Stegostoma tigrinum: one gene and its partner. The protein of the gene in region 2 interacts with the protein of the main gene of each other region in a biochemical or structural test. Links are inferred from orthologs where the notes say so. Each region holds a gene or a part of one and is shown on either strand. Other genes may lie near its edges. The genes, in order: ptprja and pdgfrb.

Evidence for each region.
Region 1: of the proteins of pdgfrb (region 2) and ptprja, one has a biochemical effect on the other in vitro, tested with the Homo sapiens proteins (2 studies listed by IntAct). The link is inferred for Stegostoma tigrinum from reciprocal best matches to the Homo sapiens genes PDGFRB and PTPRJ.

The regions. Positions count from the first base shown.
Region 1 is NC_081370.1:8,171,980-8,181,128, reverse strand, and holds the start of ptprja (receptor-type tyrosine-protein phosphatase eta), read right to left. Parts: upstream 3,660-9,149; 5' UTR 3,433-3,659; coding exon 3,376-3,432; intron 1-3,375. UniProt on the Homo sapiens protein: Tyrosine phosphatase which dephosphorylates or contributes to the dephosphorylation of CTNND1, FLT3, PDGFRB, MET, KDR, LYN, SRC, MAPK1, MAPK3, EGFR, TJP1, OCLN, PIK3R1 and PIK3R2. Plays a role in cell adhesion, migration, proliferation and differentiation.
Region 2 is NC_081366.1:10,721,094-10,730,336, forward strand, and holds the start of pdgfrb (platelet-derived growth factor receptor beta), read left to right. Parts: upstream 1-5,075; 5' UTR 5,076-5,445; coding exon 5,446-5,489; intron 5,490-9,243. UniProt on the Homo sapiens protein: Tyrosine-protein kinase that acts as a cell-surface receptor for homodimeric PDGFB and PDGFD and for heterodimers formed by PDGFA and PDGFB, and plays an essential role in the regulation of embryonic development, cell proliferation, survival, differentiation, chemotaxis and migration.

The DNA of each region.
Region 1 (9,149 bases), on a different chromosome or scaffold from region 2:
GAGATCGCAGAGGCAGGGAGAGACAAAGGAGTGGAGGAACGTGAAAGAAAGACTGAGAATTCTGACAGAGACAATGTCACACTTGCAGGAAACGTAGGTAGCAACAAGGAGAGTGTCAAACAGAGATTGGCACAAGCTGGATACGGGTGGAGTATGCCAACGACACAAGTTAGACGGTTGGTCAGAAGTACATTCAATTGACAGACATCAAAAGGAGAAATAGGGAGCATTAGCAGATAGGCTACAGTGCAGGAGAAGATAGATAATGCTAAACAGTGAAAATAGGCAGTCTCGATGATACAGAGATGTACATTCATACATACATCAGTCTGGAAATTCAACATCAAATAAAACGTCGTGGTTTCTGAACAGTCCTGCTTCAGGCTCAGGCAGTGAGATGATGGATTGTAATTAAAGCAGAGGACAAAGTCAATGGCTAGTGTTATTATTTATTTACATAATGCTTAATTGAAGTCACTCTTGATTCATCTTGATGTCTGACAAGCAGCATGGCAAATCAGAGTCAGTGAGGGATCACTAGCCATGCTGGTAACGCAATGCTGATTATCAACAAAGTACATGTTGAATCTAGGGTTGTGCTTTCAAACGATAAATGCCCCAACAGCTTGACTGGACTATTTTAACTGCTAGGTACTCACCTTTATCAAGCCGGACATGGGGGTATATACAAATATTTTCAATCTACACTTAAATGCAATTTTTAAGTTTGGACCCACTGTGAATTAACATGTATTCAAAGAGATTTCCAGAAATTGGTTACATCATTAATCTCTATGGCCCTTCAAAAGGCCTTGCAGAAGTCCAGTGGAAAATCATATCTATAACTTGAGTTGTTCAGTGTTTAGGAGGGGTCCCTGTTCTTCCTAATTCAAAAAGGGCAGATCTTTTATTTAAAAAAAGGTGTCAAAAACTTTCCCCACATTTTTGACCACTACGTCTGAACTCCTATTCCTTCAGTGGTCTGGCAGGGGAAAAGATATAATGGCTTTCTCCATTCAGATCTTTGGCTAATGCAGAATAATTATCAGATCTGATCGCAGCATCACAGACCAATCTGAATGTTTGAAGGAAATTATCTTAAGACCAGTACAAGACGCACGTAACCTAGGCAGGCAGACTAAATTGCATGTGACAGTGCGTGGCCCTGCCCTGATTTAGTATTCACACAGGATATCATCAACACTATTTATTTCCATATCCATCTCTATCTCATGCATAAGGTTGCTGAAACCCTGCCTTACTTTTGGTGGAGTCAGCCAGGGTTCTTTTGCTCCGTTCTTAACAGTTGTCAAGTCACCCACATTAAATTTGCACTAACTCCTGCTCACCAACTCAGGTGCCTTTAGTAAACTGGTGTACCAACTGCAAAATACTCAATTTGAAGAATTATTCAACAGAACTTTTCTGCAGTTTCCTTCAGCCTGATTTCCCTGTGTATAGCCTACACTGTTCCTATGCTGCATGCTGCAGTGCCATTCCTGACGACACTGGCAAAGACATTCTTGAGCCCAAGCAAGGTGCACCATAGCAGTCCTCCTCTCCATTACTAACTGCACAGTATCAGTCGCCTTGCCTACTCTCTCATGTCTTCCCAGTTTCAAAACCTCCTCCATATCCATGGCTTCAACAGCACCTTTGGTCATTTCCCTTCTACTCGTTGCTTTGCCGCTGGATGTGAAAAACAATGGAATGTTTCATTCTGGAAAAGCCCTGATATACAAATGCAAGTTACAATGTTGTCAGCAGGGACGGGACAAGAAACTAAGGCTTGTGTACTTCTTTGGTAAAAATGCGAACTTGGGGGCTCAGCACACTGTCAGTTGATACTTTGACTAAACGCGACATAGCAAAGCATGCCCGTATGAAAGGAAATAAATTTAGTAATCTCAAATAATCTATACAGCAAACAAAAAGGGTGGGTAGGGAAGAACGCCACCCAACTGAATGTATTTAGAAGCATTTAGTCTTAATGGTGATATGCACCATTACCCATGAATCTGATATGGTACTTTTGTCAACTACCTTTTAGCTATAATTATATCCCATCAGTAGAGAGACTAGCCATTAAAATTTCAGAAAATGTACTGATTCACTTCTCTAAAAGTAACCAAAGCAGAAACCAAAATGCAATATCTGCCTCTCCAGGAATTCTTTGTAAATTGTATTAATTAAAACCTACTGTATAAAATTAATTGTTTCCATTTAAAATGTTTCTCCCAATTCACAAGATATGTCTGTCATCTAGCGCATCAGATCAGAGACTTGAGCACGAAGACAGGTGTATAACTGATGGCCTATTCCAGAAATCACTGCTGGATTGAAGAAGGGTCGAGGCCCGAAACATCAGCTTTCCTGTTCCTCAGGTGCTGCTTGGCCTGCTGTGTTCATCCAGCTCTACACCTTGTTATCTCAGATTCTCCAGCTTCAGCAGTTCCGACTATCTCTGGACTATTAGTTAATAAAGTGTGAAGCTGGATGAGCTGGAGAGCTCTCTCTGATGAAGGGTCTAGGCCCGAAACGTCAGCTTTTGTGGTCCTGAGATGCTGCTTGGCCTGCTGTGTTCATCCAGCTTCACACTTTATTATCTTGGATTCTCCAGCATCTGCTGTTCCCATTATCTCTGGATTATTAGTGCCTGGTTTGCCTGGTACAGAAAGGAGTATAATCCTGGGCAGGACAGCAAAAGAATTCACAGTGGCTCATCCCCAACTTGGGATGAACATTCAGGCAATTAATCAAAGCAGTGGGTCAAGTAGGGTCATGGGTAACCCCAAAGCAAAGCATTCTTTCTTAACACTGAGAAGCACATTGCAAAAAGAACTGAAGTTGTTCGAAAGATTCTAGCACAAGAGACGCACGACTTTACAACATTACATATTTAAAATGTGTAGTATTCGGAAGGAGATGATCTCTGGTGGTTGCATGTTGTTTCCCCCTCCCCCTCCCTATTTACTAACTTTAAGTATGCTAATAACTTGTAAATAAAACAGTTCATTGAAACTTTACGGCAAAATTTCTATGAAAGGGAATGTTGCTTTGATTCTGGGGACTTGAATACACTTACTTTAAATCGGGATTGTGCAACTCTTGAGCAGGCGAGTTAATTGCTAAACAAGTGAGCGAACTGGTGGGGGGTGTTAGCGACAGAGAGACAGCAAGAGGTCTATCTCCAGCATACTGTGTCCCGTTTCAGGTGCGGATACTCCGAACCCCATCTCCTCAGTGAGGAGGAGATAAACAGTGCCGTCGGCAGGTGCAACAGGGCAGTTCCCGCATCTTTATCCACAGTAACAGCCCACCCCTACCCTACACACACACACAGACAGAAAACTTACAACTACCCACTATTCTCACCTGAAACAGGAAGGCGCTGGCCAGCAGCATCATTACATTACGCCAAGTTGGCTCCATCCTCGATCCAGGAAACTACAACAGTTTCCAATGAAAACTTTTTGTTTTTCTCTCTTTCTCCCCCTTTCAGCAGTCGTGACTCTGCGCCGAACCGTTCGCCAACTTCTCTCTTTCTTTTTTTCTGTCAAACAGAAATGACTCACTTCACCTTGCTGCCAGCAAACCCACAGCCGAAGCCCATTATGTTCACGGGAGAGAGGGGCTGTGCAGTGAAGCACTAGCCTGAACTGCTAGGAGGAAGAAAGTTGAATTAAAGAAAGGGTGGAGCCCGTTCTGTAACGTCAGAGAAAACACTCCCGAGCATTGACCTGCTGAGTTCAGGCAGTACAACGAGCTGGCCCAGTCAACAGGGTACTTCCATTCACCTGCAGTTCCATTTGTTAGCCAATGTCAATTCCACCCCCACCTCACAGTTATTTTCACTGAAAATTACATAAACGGATTTCACCAGAGGCAGCGCATTAAAAAAATCTCCTGCATTTACTACTTTACAAAGCGTAACCAGCAAAGCTTGACCCTGAACCACATCAAGAAGTATTAGGTTGGGTGACCAAAAGCCTCTTGGGAAAGAGAGGCTGTGGGGGAAACCAAACTTCAAATAGAAGTCACTGACCGCCTCAAACAGAAACTCAAAATGAAAGCCTCAGAGTGATGGGGTGGGATGTAGTGTAGTTGAAGGTTGCTGTGAAAATATGAACACTGCAGGCACTAACCAGTATGTCCCAATGACCCAGTACACTCTGTGCCCAGGCCTTCTGAAAGGCAGGTGTTGGGCACCCTTCGAGGTCCCAATGGAAACGGCCATGAGGAATATTCTAATTTGCCAGGAAGTATGCCAAAGTGTCTAATTCTGAGTTAGAATTAGAGACTTTGGACGGTGTCGACTCTCTTACTTGGATAGTAATCCGGGAGATTTTCAAGGATCTCCTGCTCCAACTCCCAAACAACTGACTCCTCCACCTGAATCCTTGCTGGATCACCCACTCACATTGCCTCTGCCCAGGACACCAGACCCTGGATCTGCTTCCCCGTTCCCTGAACCACCTCCTTAGTCACCCACTGCCAGTCTACACCCTCACCCACTAACCTGCTCGTGCAGTGGTACTGTCCGCACTTCTAAAACAGGAGACCCAGGGTCAAATACTACCTTGCTTTGGAGGGTGTAATAACGTCGTTGAGTATTTTGACTGGAAAAGCTCGACACACTTAACTTCTCTCAGTAACTTGTCATTCGAATTTCACACATAGTGATGAGAACACAGTAACAAGTATGCCATGAAAAGGGAAACAACTTTTAGTTTGATTCTTCCTGCAAAGGTATTCTGCACCTTGAATGTTGGGATAGATCCTGCATCGGAAGTTGGGCCTAAAAAAATCATGGTAAGTAAGCAATGTTTTGTCTGACTGGGTCATGTATGTGGATTTTGCCCCAGATTAGATGATGTAATGCAAGGAGGAATAGTTTACAGGAGAAAATCCATCACTAAATCCAGAGGCATCTGCAACATAGCTGTAATTAGTGGGTTATGAAAGCCAGGGCCCAAAATCAGGGGGTTGCAGAGATATCAGAGAGTTGTAAGACTGCAAGATATGACAGCATTAGGGAGAGAGGTGGCCAAGGAAGGATTTGAGGGCTAAGATGGAGATTTTTAACTTAGAAGCATTGTCAGGCCTGCAGCCAATGTGAGTAAGCACAGGAATGGTGGGATCTGTGGCTTATGACACAAGTTACAGAGTTCTGGGTGATTTGAAGTTGACTGAGTCTGGAGGAAAGGAGACTGGGCACAAAAGCATTGAAGTTTTGCATCTGGAGATAACATAAAGTTTCAGCAGTAGCAAAAGAAGGATATTGGTAATGTAATGGAAATGAGTGTGGGCAGTCCTGATGCTGAAGGGTTGGAAGCACAGAGTAAGGTCAAGGGGCGTGCCAACTGTGTGCCTTTGTTTCAGAATTAGCCACAGTAAGGAGCAAGTCAATGGCTGGGATGTGGAGTTTGTGGTATGGAATGAAAACGAAGGCTGCAGGCTAAGCATTATTTAATGGAAACAAATTGTGCTCATCCAATACCAGGTTTTGGGTTGACACCATTACAAACTAGATTCAACGGCTGCTGCCACAAGAGGGGCTGGTGAGATATAGCAAGGTTTCATTGTCATTTGTGTGGAAGGTGACATGGTATTTTTTAAGACGATATTGCTATAAATGACAAATAAGAGGTGTCAATGACAGATACTGAGCATCTCCAGAAGTAATAATGCTGAAGCAGGAAGGAAAGAACTGGACTGATAAGAACAGAACCTTCTGAGGGAGTCAGGACAACAGACTGGAAGCATTGAAGACAGGCAAAGTGGTCAACTGTGTCAGAGACAAACAAATCAATAAGAATAAGGAGATACAATGCACCATTATCATGGTCACATAAGATGTCATTTGTGGCCTGGTAAGGGCCACTTTAGTATTGTGGCTGGGGCAGACCTGTTGAGTTTGGTTCAAACATGGAATTTTGGGAAAGGTGGGCATGGACTTTGAATGTGGCAACATGTATAAGAACTTTGAAGGGGAAAGGAAGTTCCTACATGTAGTAGTCATTGGTAATTATTAAACATTTATGTAGAACATGGAACAGAACAGCACTGCGCAGTACAGGCTCTTCAGCCCACGATGTTGTGCTGACCTACTATCCTACTAAGATCAATCTACACTGCATAATTTGCATTTTACTATCCTCTATGTACTTATCCAAGAGTTGCTTAAAAGTCTCTAAAATATCTGACTACACTACAACTGCCAGCAGCGCATTCCACACACCCACCTGTCTCTGTGTGAAGAACCTACCTCTGAAATCTCCCCTACACCTTCCTTAAAATTGTGCCCCCTCATAATAGTAATTTTATAAGAGTATATTTGCAAATATAGTACTTGTTATCTTAGCAATTTTCCTTCCTCACTCATTACTATTGAGTATGATAGTCATTGGCCATTAATTTTGTTTCTGTTTGTGTAGATTTGTTTAACATAAATTTTGGGATGAGGTGCTCTGTGTGGGGTCTGGAGGATGTGGGATTGTTCAATTTAGAGGTAAGAAGATTAAACAAAGATTTAATACAGTCATTCAAAATATGTGGAGTCTTGATTTTAGAGACAAAAGGGAAAAATTGTAATCAAAAGCAAGAAGAGTGTGTCATGTGCGCTGCCACCCATATCTTCTAAAGTTCTTCAGGGACACATGTGGACTAATCTGTCTAAAGACAACCACCTTCTGACCCTTGCAGAACAACCAAAGATGTAAAGATGCTCAACTACTAAGAGGTTAAAAGAACAGGCTGTACATCACTACAAAGAAGATGCAGGAGCCCGGTATTAGATTTATCTTCCACAAGATCCTACTTTACTGTCTCACCAAGCCCTCACGATATCAGCGCTATTGCACTCAATCAAATATTAAAATTTGCAAACGTTTGGTTCGCAAAAGTCTCCACATTCATCAAAATTAGAGCATGGATCAGTACCTGGTGCTATGATGTTGTGGCCATAACAGAGACATGGGTTTCTCATGGGCTGGAATGGTTGCTGGATGTTCCAGGGTTTAGAACATTTAAAAAGAATAGGGAGGGGGCAAAAAGAGGAGGGGGTGTAGCACTACTAATCAGAGAGGGTATCACAGCTACAGAAGCTTCCATTGTCGAGGAAGATCTGCCTACTGAGTCAGTATGGGTGGAAATTAGGAACAGCAAGGGAGTAGTCACCTCGTTAGGGGTTTACTACAGGCCCCCCAATAGCAGCAGGGAGATTGTAGAAAGCATAGGTCGACAGATTTTGGAAAAGTGTGGACGCAGTAGGGTTGTTGTAATGGGTGACTTTAACTTTCCTAATATTGATTGGAACCTCCTTCGAGCAGAAGATTTGAATGGAGCTGTTTTTGTAAGGTGTGTTCAGGAGGGTTTCCTAACGCAGTACGTTGACAGGCCGACGAGGGGAGAGGCCATTCTAGACTTGGTGCTCGGAAACGAGCCGGGGCAGGTATCAGATCTTGTGGTGGGAGAGCATTTTGGTGATAGTGACCATAACACTCTCTCATTCTACATAGCTATGGAGAAGGAGAGGATTAGGCAGAATGGGAGGATATTTAATTGGGGAAGAGGAAACTATGATGCGATTAGACACGAGTTAGGAAGCATGGACTGGGAGCAGTTGTTCCATGGTAAGGGAACTATAGACATGTGGAGATGGTTTAAGGAACAGTTGTTGGGAGTGATGAGTAAATATGTCCCTCTGAGACAGGCAAGACGGGGTAAGATAAAGGAACCTTGGATGACGAGAGCGGTGGAGCTTCTAGTGAAAAGGAAGAAGGTAGCTTACATAAGGTGGAGGAAGCTAGGGTCAAGTTCAGCTAGAGAGGATTACATGCAGGCAAGGAAGGAGCTCAAAAATGGTCTGAGGAGAGCCAGGAGGGGGCACGAGAAAGGCTTGGCAGAAGGAATCCGGGAAAACACAAAGGCATTTTACACTTACGTGAGGAATAAGAGAATGGTCAAAGAAAGAGTAGGGCCGATCAGGGATAGCATAGGGAACTTGTGTGTGGAGCCTGAGGAGGTAGGGGAAGCCCTAAATGAGTTTTTTGCTTCTGTCTTTACGAAAGAAACGACCTGTGTAGTGAATGAAACCTTTGAAGAGCAGGTGTGCATGCTGGAATGGATAGAGATAGAGGAAGCTGATGTACTGAAAATTTTGTCAAACATTAAGATTGACAAGTCGCCAGGCCCGGATCAGATTTGTCCTCGGCTGCTTTGGGAAGCGAGAAATGCAATTGCTTCGCCACTTGCGAAGATCTTTGCATCCTCGCTCTCCACTGGAGTCGTACCTGAGGACTGGAGAGAGGCAAATGTAATTCCTCTCTTCAAGAAAGGAAATAGGGAAATCCCCGGCAATTATAGACCGGTAAGTCTCACGTCTGTCGTCTGCAAGGTGTTAGAAAGGATTCTGAGGGATAAGATTTATGACCATCTGGAAGAGCATGGCTTGATCAAATACAGTCAACACGGCTTTGTGAGGGGTAGGTCATGCCTTACAAACCTTATCGAGTTTTTTGAGGATGTGACTAGTAAGGTTGATGAGGGTCAAGCTGTGGATGTGGTGTATATGGACTTCAGTAAGGCATTTGATAAGGTTCCCCATGGAAGGCTCATTCAGAAGGTCAGGAGGAATGGGATACAGGGGAACTTAGCTGCTTGGATACAGAATTGGCTGGCCAACAGAAGACAGCGAGTGGTAGTAGAAGGAAAATATTCTGCCTGGAAGTCAGTGGTGAGTGGGGTTCCACAGGGCTCTGTCCTTGGGCCTCTACTGTTTGTAATTTTTATTAATGACTTGGACGAGGGAATTGAAGGATGGGTCAGCAAGTTTGCAGACGACACAAAGGTCGGAGGTGTCGTTGACAGTGTAGAGGGCTGTTGTAGGCTGCAGCGGGACATTGACAGGATGCAGAGATGGGCTGAGAGGTGGCAGATGGAGTTCAACCTGGATAAATGCGAGGTGATGCATTTTGGAAGGTCGAATTTGAAAGCTGAGTACAGGATTAAGGATAGGATTCTTGGCAGCGTGGAGGAACAGAGGGATCTTGGTGTGCAGATACATAGATCCCTTAAAATGGCCACCCAAGTGGACAGGGTTGTTAAGAAAGCATATGGTGTTTTGGCTTTCATTAACAGGGGGATTG
Region 2 (9,243 bases):
AGGCATTTGTGCAATCTTGGAACTCTTTGTCTTAGAAAGCAGTAGAATTTGGAAGCGGGGTGGGGGGGAAGTCACTGGTTATTTTAGAGACTGAGGCAGAGAGATTCTTATTAGGCAAGAGCATCAATGGCTATTCGGGGTAAATAGGTTGTGGATTTCATAACACAAACAGGAAGCCCTGTTCTTACTGAATGTCTGAGCAAGCTCAAGAGGCTGATTGGTCTACTTCTGATCTTATTTATATGTTAGTTTGCAATATAGGAGCAATGTGTGCAACCTCACATCCTAGGGCAATCCAAGAGGCTAAGTTAATGAACGTTTGTTGTACTACCTCCAATGTAAACGTATCACTTCCTAAACATGGAGACCCAAACTGCCCAAAGTATTTCAGATGTGATCCCACCAAAACCCTGACATATGTCATAACACAGCATGGGGCTGGAGGAACACAGCAGGCCAGGCAGCATCAGAGGAGTAGGAAAGATGACGTTTCGGGTCAGGGCCCTTCTTCAGACCCTTTTCTGAAGAAGGGTCCTGACCCAAAATGTCAACTTTCCTGCTCCTGTAATGCTGCCTGGCCTGCTGTGCTCATCCAGCTTAGCTCTGACTCTAGCATCGGCAGTTCTTACTATCCCTGACAATGTGAGTTCTTTTCTTAAAAGAGGAGATACAGGAGGCTGCCTGGAAAGGAGCACTAGGATGTCATACCTGAAGGTGTATAGGAAGTTTCAGAAGAGAAAAATTCACTGCAAACTGAATTATGATTTCCTGTGAGTATCTCAGACTGTGAACATGAAGAGAGAAAAGACAGCTGTCAGAGATACATATTTGGGTGTTTCCCTTTTCAAGAATGATCAAGGAAAGGCAGTTTCAACACTAGCCTAAGTCAGAAGTCATACAACAACAGGTTATAGTCTAACAGGTTTATTTAAAATTACAAGCTTTCAGAGAGCTTCTTCCTCATTGAGTGAAGTGACAAAGGAGCAGAGCTCCAAAAGCTTGTGATTTCAAATAAACCTGTTGGACTATAATCTGGTGTTGTGTGACTTCTGACTTTGTCTATCCCATTACAACACTGGCACCTCCACATCATAGCAACCATGGCCTGTGTGTACTAGTGGACAATAGTGTTAATTTGTACTAACCTGGTTTGAATGTGAGTGTGCTGTAGAGCTCAAAGTCAAAGAACGATCCACTAGACACCCTGGAGTTGCAGGTAAAGGATTTCTACTCTCCTCCTATTTTCTATGTTTCTATGCACTGATTGCTGAAAGTTAGTTAGCAAGCCAGTTGAAAGGAAACCGACAATGCCAAGAATCTCAATATTGCCTTCTCAACTATCAACGTCAACACTACCAGAACTGCACAACGTAAAACATAGAACATAGAACATTACAGCACAGTACAGGCCCTTCAGCCCTCGATGTTGTGCCGACCTGTCATACCAATCTCAAACCCATCTAACCTACACTATTTCATGTACGTCCATATGCTTATCCAATGACGACTTAAATGTACCTAAAGTTGGCGAATCTACTACCATTTCACCGCCTCATCTTCCCAAATGGTGCAGAGACCGATCTGTATATCTTATAACTTTTATCTTTCCTTTTTAATCTATGGTATGTGCATTACATTATTATTTCTTCCCATAATTCATCAAAAATAAACTCTCTCTCATTAACTCGAGAGCCTGGCTAAATTGGTTCCATTTTAAAACACAAGGATTCACCTTATAGAAGCTTATAACATCATGGATAAGATGAATAGCCAAGGTCTTCTGGCCTGTGTAGCAGAGTCCAAAACTAGAAGGCATAGGTTTAAGTCAAGAGGGGAGAGATTTCGAAGGAACGTAAGGGGCAACCTTTTCATGCAGAGGGTGATGCGTGTATAAAATGAGGTGCCAGAGGAAGTGGTGGAGGCTGGTACAATTACAACATTTAAAAGGCAACTGGGTGGGTATTTGTATAGGAAGAATGTAAAGGGATACGGGTCAAATGCTGGCAAATGGGGCTAGATTAATTTAGGATATATGATTGGCGTGGACAAGTTGGACCAAAGGGTCTGTTTCTCTGCTGTACAGCTCTATCACTGACAAATCCACTTGGTCTGGGAGAAAATTATCTGCGAGGAAGGGAATCATTTTTAATTAACCTTGTGGCAGCCGAACCTAGGTGAATAAGGAAGGGGAGCCAGTTCATCCCTCCCTCAAGCCGGAGTTTGACAGTTTGCAGTAGTCCATCTGGATCTGTAATAAAATTGGGCGACTACCCCTGGAGAGTGGTTGTGATAACTTCTAAAGCATGTTTCAGGACATCAGCATTCCCAAAATGCTGAACACCCAATGAAGTACTTTGGAAATTGCAATGTAGGAAAGATGATAGTCAACTTGCACACAGCAAGCTCCCGCAAAACAGCAATGTGATAGCTGATCAGATGATCCATTGCTTTCTCACACCTCTGTGCCATTGTGTTCATCTTCATCTAAGAAATGTCCTGGAAGCCCCTTGAAACTTTGTAACCCATACTGTTAAGGGGGTAGTGAACAGATGTGAACAGGGTCACTGTGGATTCTAAGAGAGAAATTCAGAACCAAATTGTGAATCAGGTGCTGGCACAATTTTACCTTTTTCTTCCTCAAGACCATTGCTTGCTAATGGAAGCAAAGTCTTGATAAATTATGTTAACAATTATTCCATTTCATTTCAGTGCACAATGGCCACAGCACACATCATTTACAAGTATCACAGCAGCAAATCATCAGGGGTCCTTTGATATTAACTTCCGTACTACATACACTTATGTCAAGAAAGTCAAAGACAGCAAAAACAGAGAAACATCATAACTTACAAAATCCCTGTAGAATCCCTACAGGGCGGGAGGAGGCCATTCAGTCCATCAAGTCTACACCAACCCTCCAAAGAGCATCCCATACACATCATTCCTATAACCTCGCATTTACCATGGCTAATCCACCTAGCCTGCACACTACAGGGCGATTTAGCATGGCCAATCCACCTAACCTGTACATCTGTGGACTCTGGGAGGAAATCAGAATACATGGAGGAGACCGACAGAGCCATGGGGGACAGTATGCAAACTCCACACAGACAGTTAACCAAGGCTAGAATCAAAGCCAGGTTCTTGGCTCCGTGAGGCAGCAGTGCTAACCACTGAGGCACCGTGCAACTTGACACATGCACAATCCTCATTTCAAAACATATTGGTCCCTTGTTCATCAAAGCCAGGTCAAAATGCTGGAATTCCAACAATGCTGTGGGAGTAGCTGCACCATTTGGACTTCAGTGGTTTTAAGAAGTAGATCAACTACCAACTTGTTAATGGGAACTCACACACTCTTCTCCTGGCTTCCTAATATTACAAACATCACTGTCCAACACTTCCGCTGACTGATGAAAACCTCCAAGGCTGGTTGAAACTATTTGTGCCGAACCTACTTACCCAATTGCTGATGGCCTGTTCCTTCTAGCCATCCTACATGGAGCAACCTTTCTGAACCAGATCCACCAAGATACATCCCTCGGACCAAGCAATGGAAGCCATGAACAATTTCCTCGTGACAAACCCCATCTATCAAATGTGAACTACCATTACAAGAGTGGCCTCAGCTAAACAAGTTCAGAACAGGTCAGCGCTCTTTTGCAGTCAACCTTCTTCACTGGGGCCTCTTCTGCCAGTTGTGTAGAGACTCAAACAATGCTGCATATTATGGAGGAATGTTCCCTCTACATCCTAAATGCCAGACCAATAACCTTGAACTTAGCAAACGAAGAGGCTACGGCTTGGCATCAGGTTTCACATTTGCTAAATAAATGGGAAATGTAGGATAAGCAATAAATGCTAGTCTTGCTAAAGATGCAGACATTCCAAGATTTTTTAAAGTATGCTTTCATCAAACTGACTGTATAACTAATTCAGAGATAGTAAGAACTGCAGATGCTGGAGTCTGAGATAACACAGTATGGAGCTGGAGGAACACAGCAGGCCAGGCAGCATCAGAGGAGCAGGAAAGTTAACATTTCAGACCTGAAACATCAACTTTCCTGCTCCTCTGATACTGCTTGGCCGGCTGTGTTCCTCCAGGCACACACCGTGTGTAACTAATGGTCCAATGGTCCCTCTACAATTAGTCGCTATTACCAGTAGAGGTGCTGTGGCACCACCAAGTGGTCAGAATTTACAGCGTGACATGTTTACATGAAGTTTTTCCAGCCTCTAACAAATTTAAAGAAGAAACAAAAGTGTGAATTCAACGGGCTTGGCAGCATGTGTAAAGAAATAATCAGAGTTAACGTTTTAAACTTTAAACTGCGAAATATTAACTCTGATTCTTCACAGATGCTGCCAGACCTGCTGAGCTTTTCCAGCAACTTTGTTTTTGTTCCTGATTTACAGCATGCGTAGTTCTTTCGGTTTTCGTTAGTTGTGAATTCAGTGCCTGTTAAAATGGGGATTACACTGGATATGTAACCTTGATTTAATAATGTCATCTCATTTTACCTAAAAATTGCACATACTCCCGATTCCCAAGCAAAGAGTAATTTAAATATTGCAAGCAGACCAGATTAAACTATTCATTAAAGACGTTTCCCTTTGAAGAATATTGGAATTAAAGTCGAATTAAGTTTGACTTCCTGAATAGTGAAGGGAGAAATAGGCACGGGGCAACATTCCTTGCTGACAGAGGGTTAAAATCAGGATGGACTAGGAATTTATAAACTCACCACAGTCCTTAATTTCTTCCATATGTAACCTTGTACGTGTCAGTATCTCCCTAACCAGGGGCTATGCGTTTGAATCTGTGATTCCAGTCACTACGTTTTGTTAGCAATGTGCCTCATCTCGACATTTCGTGTCAAACTGTGTTTAAGAAAGAACTCGCACTTTCGAAGGGATAAAACAGCACGGATTGGCTTATAACATACAAGAATAAAGCGAGAGAAGGTTTGAAGTCGATTCATTGACCGTGAGTCAACTCTTGGCATGGAGAGGCAGGGCTCTCGACATCCTTTTTAAATCCCACACACATACACAAAAAAAAGTTTGGGCAAATTGCCAGACTGCAAAGGGAATTGTCTCAGAGTTGGAGCACTCAAGAGAAAATCAGCACTGCTCTCAATCCTCCCGTCCCAGCACTAGAGGTTTTTTTTTCCCCCCGATAAGTTCCAGGAAGATTTCCTTTCTGTTTCTCTCTCGGAATGTATTTTTAAAACACACACGGTGCCGTCCTCAACCAAACTCGAGCAGTTTCTTGCCTCTCCTGCGGAGTTTGCTCTTTAAAAAAGTGTTTGGAGAAGCATTTTTTTTCTCTCTGTGTGTGTTTGTCCCCTCCTCCCCCGTTACAACCAGGCGATTCTACAATAGGAGGCTGAGACTGGGCTGCCAGTGTTATTCCAGACCTCTTCCCTGAGCCTTTCCTGAGGAATGGACTCCCTCAAAGGCAAGTCTCCCACCGCCGAGATCTCCAGGTGAGTTAATCTTGGCTGGTCATTCTGGGCTCGGTTGGTGTGGCTTGTCCCCTCAAGTTTTGTGGAAATGGGAAACTTCTGAAGATTAGTTGGATTGAGAATTTCCTCCTTTGCATTTTTTAACCCCTTGGTGTCTACAAGTCACCTCCACTTGAGGTGGGGAGCGATTTTTGTTCTTTTGATCACAGATGTCAGGGAGTTTTGAAGATTCACTAGGAGATTTCATTGCAAGGGAAGGGGTAGAGGAGATACACCAGGATGTTGCCTGGGATGGAGTATTGCAGCTATGAAGAGAGGTTGGACAAGTCTGGGTTGTTTTGCAGAAAAGGCTGAGGGGGTCCTCCTGGTAGAGGTGCATCAGATTACGAGGGACACAGGATGAATAGAAAGCTGCAGTTTTCCTTAGTCCAAGGGTCAGTAACAAGGGAGCTTACATTTTAAGTGAAAGGCAGGATGCTTAGGTGAAATTTAAGGAAAATCCTCTAACATAGTGTGTGATGAGGGTCAGGGATGCAAATGCCTGGGAGGGTAGTTGAGCCAAGAAAGCTCACAACCTTTAAAAAGTACTTGGGTGAGCGCTTGAAATGTCATAACATTCAAGGCTGTGCAGGAAAGTGGGATGTGTCCATTTAGGTTGGTCCATGCAGACTTGATGGGCTGAAGGGCCTCTTCTGTCCTGAATTATTCTAAGAACCAAATGAGGCGATGAGAAATGTTATGGTCAGGAGAGTCCTCCACTGGCCTGAGAGGGAGATGGAAGCACATTCAATAAGAAGTTGGAAGTTGGAGCAATATTTGATAGAGGTTTAAAAGGCATGGCTATGGGGAAAGAATAGAGAGGATGGGACAAATCCAATATCTTGATAAAAGAGGAAGTATAGGTATGTTGGGCCAAGAGGTCATTGTCTGTGCTGACTGGTTCAATGACACAGCTCCTCATTTTATTATTGTTAGAAGCTGCAATGAATTAGTGGAATGTGCAGAGTCGGCAAGAGGACAGCTCCTTATATGTATGTTTCTAACACAAAAAAAATTAGATCAGATTTTGATGATGGCTTTAATTATTTGCATTCTTCTGCAAATTGTCATCTTCTTCCGCCAGATCTTAACGATGAGTTTGCCTGGGATTTTCTCTCTCTCTCTGCCTTCGAAACAGGAAAAGGGAGTTTTTAAAAGTCTGTTGCTGAATGAGTAAAAGGTCTTGTCGTGAGCTTGGCGTGTCTCTGTTGGGATCTAAGTGCTTCACTGGAGATTATTCTTGGAGTTTGACAGCACACAGAGACAAGGCCTGGATGCCGGAAGTTGAAATGCTGGGTCACATGTTTAGACTGATATGTCATGGATCCCAAGCTATCTTCACTTCCTTACCCTATTACTTACCTGTTGATGAGGAGATGAAAGTGTTAAATACTCATGCTTGAGAAATAAAGACCCTTAATGTGCTGGTATCTGAGCAAAAAAGCTCACTAAGAGGCATACATATGACCTGTTCCTCAAGGTGGAGAATTTGGGACAAATGGCATGCATTATCCACAGAGTGAAACCACTTCGATCAAACTTTTGATCACTTATCCTCAGATCTTCGCAACTGGCTCAGATATGGGAAGACTATGGCAATGGACTAGCATGCTAGAGGATCAGGCTTATTCTTTGGGATGCTGGTTCAGATCTCACCAGGGCACCTCATGGCCTCTATATTCTATTGATAAGAAATAAATCTTGAATTGGAAGTCAGTTTCTGAAATAGTGACCCATCTGTATTACCCTGAGAAATGATGGTTGTAGCTGCCATCTTCTTGAAGCATAGTAGCCCACGTTGTGTCTTTTTGTTAACAGGCTTAACATAAGCACTATCTTTGTTAGGCCATTTCACAGGGCAGTTTAGAGTCAACCACGTTGTTAGAGGAGCTTTACAAGGACTGATTTTCTTCCCTGAAATATAACAGTTGCATTTCTGTGACATACCATCAGCTTTGTGCTCACTTGTGCGAATTTATGCCATAAGGTTATGTTACATTAGATTGGTGATTTGTTTTATTTATCTATTTCTGCATGCATAGATTCTCAAAATGGACATGCTTTTGTTTAAATCAGAAACTACAGGAGGGGAACCAAGGCTAGATTCTTACTGGAGCTTACAGTGATTTGAATCATGCATGCAGCATGTTGTACAATGGAATGTGGATATGTAACTGATTATGTTACTCTGATATCAGTAGGGCAGGAGAACAGACCAGACAGAAGCTTGTAATGAAACAAGTGGAAGATATACAGTTGAGAGACAAATTCAGTTATCTGTGCAAACATAAATGTAAATAGAGTGTTAATGTATTGAATAAAGTGATAGAGCCTTACTCTAACATAACAATGAACGAATGAAATGAGTGACCAAGAGTGGCAAGATAACAAAGTGTGGAGCTGGATGAACACAGCAGGCCCAGCAGCATCTCAGGAGTACAAAAGCTGACGTTTTGGGCCTAAACCCTTCATCAGAGAGGGGGATGGGTTGAGGGTTCTGGAATAAATAGGGAGAGAGGGGGAGGCGGACTGAAGATGGAGAGAAAAGAAGACAGGTGGAGAGGAGAGTATAGGTGGGGAGGTAGGGAGGGGATAGGTCAATCCAGGGAAGATGGACAGGTCAAGGAGGTGGGATGAGGTTAGTAGGTAGGAGATGGAGGTGCGGCTTGAAGTGGGAGGAAGGGATGGGTGAGAGGAAGAACAGGTTAGGGAGGCAGAGACAGACTGCACTGGTTTTGGGATGCAGTGGGTGGAGGGGAAGAGCTGGGCTCGTTGTGTGGTGCATTGGGGGGAGGGACGAGCTGGGCTGGTTTTGGGATGCGTTGGGGGAAGGGGAGATTTTGAAACTGGTGAAGTCCACATTGATACCATTGGGCTGTAGGGTTCCCAAGCGGAATATGAGTTGCTGTTCCTGCAACTTTCGGGTGGCATCATTGTGGCACTGCAGGAGGCCCATGATGGACATGTCATCTAAAGAATGGGAGGGGTAGTGGAAATGGTTTGCGACTGGGAGGTGCAGTTGTTTATTGCGAACCGAGCGGAGGTGTTCTGCAAAGCGGTCCCCAAGCCTCAATGTAGAGGAAGCCACACCAGGTACAATGGATACAGTATACCACATTGGCAGTTGTGCAGGTGAACCTCTGCTTAATATGGAAAGTCATCTTGGGGCCTGGGATAGGGGTGAGGGAGGAGGTGTGGGGGCAAGTGTAGCATTTCCTGCGGTTGCAGGGGAAGGTGCCGGGTGTGGTGGGGTTGGAGGGCAGTGTGGAGCGAACAAGGGAGTCACGGAGAGAGTGGTTTCTCTGGAAAGCAGACAAGGGTGGGGATGGAAAAATGTCTTGGGTGGTGGGGTCGGATTGTAGATGGCGGAAGTGTCGGAGGATGATGCGTTGTATCCGGAGGTTGGTGGGGTGGTGTGTGAGAACGGTCGGATTGTAGATGGCGGAAGTGTCGGAGGATTATGGTCGGGTTGTAGAGACACCAGCTTCAAAATCTCCCCTTCCCCCACCGCATCCCAAAACCAGCCCAGTTCATCCCCTCCCCCCACTGCACCACACAACCAGCCCAGCTCTTTCCCTCCGCCCACTGCATCCCAAAACCAGTCCAACCTGTCTCTGCCTCCCTAACCGGTTCTTCCTCTCACCCATCCCTTCCTCCCACCCCAAGCCGCACCTCCATCTCCTCCCTACTAACCTCATCCCACCTCCTTGACCTGTCCGTCTTCCCTGGACTGACC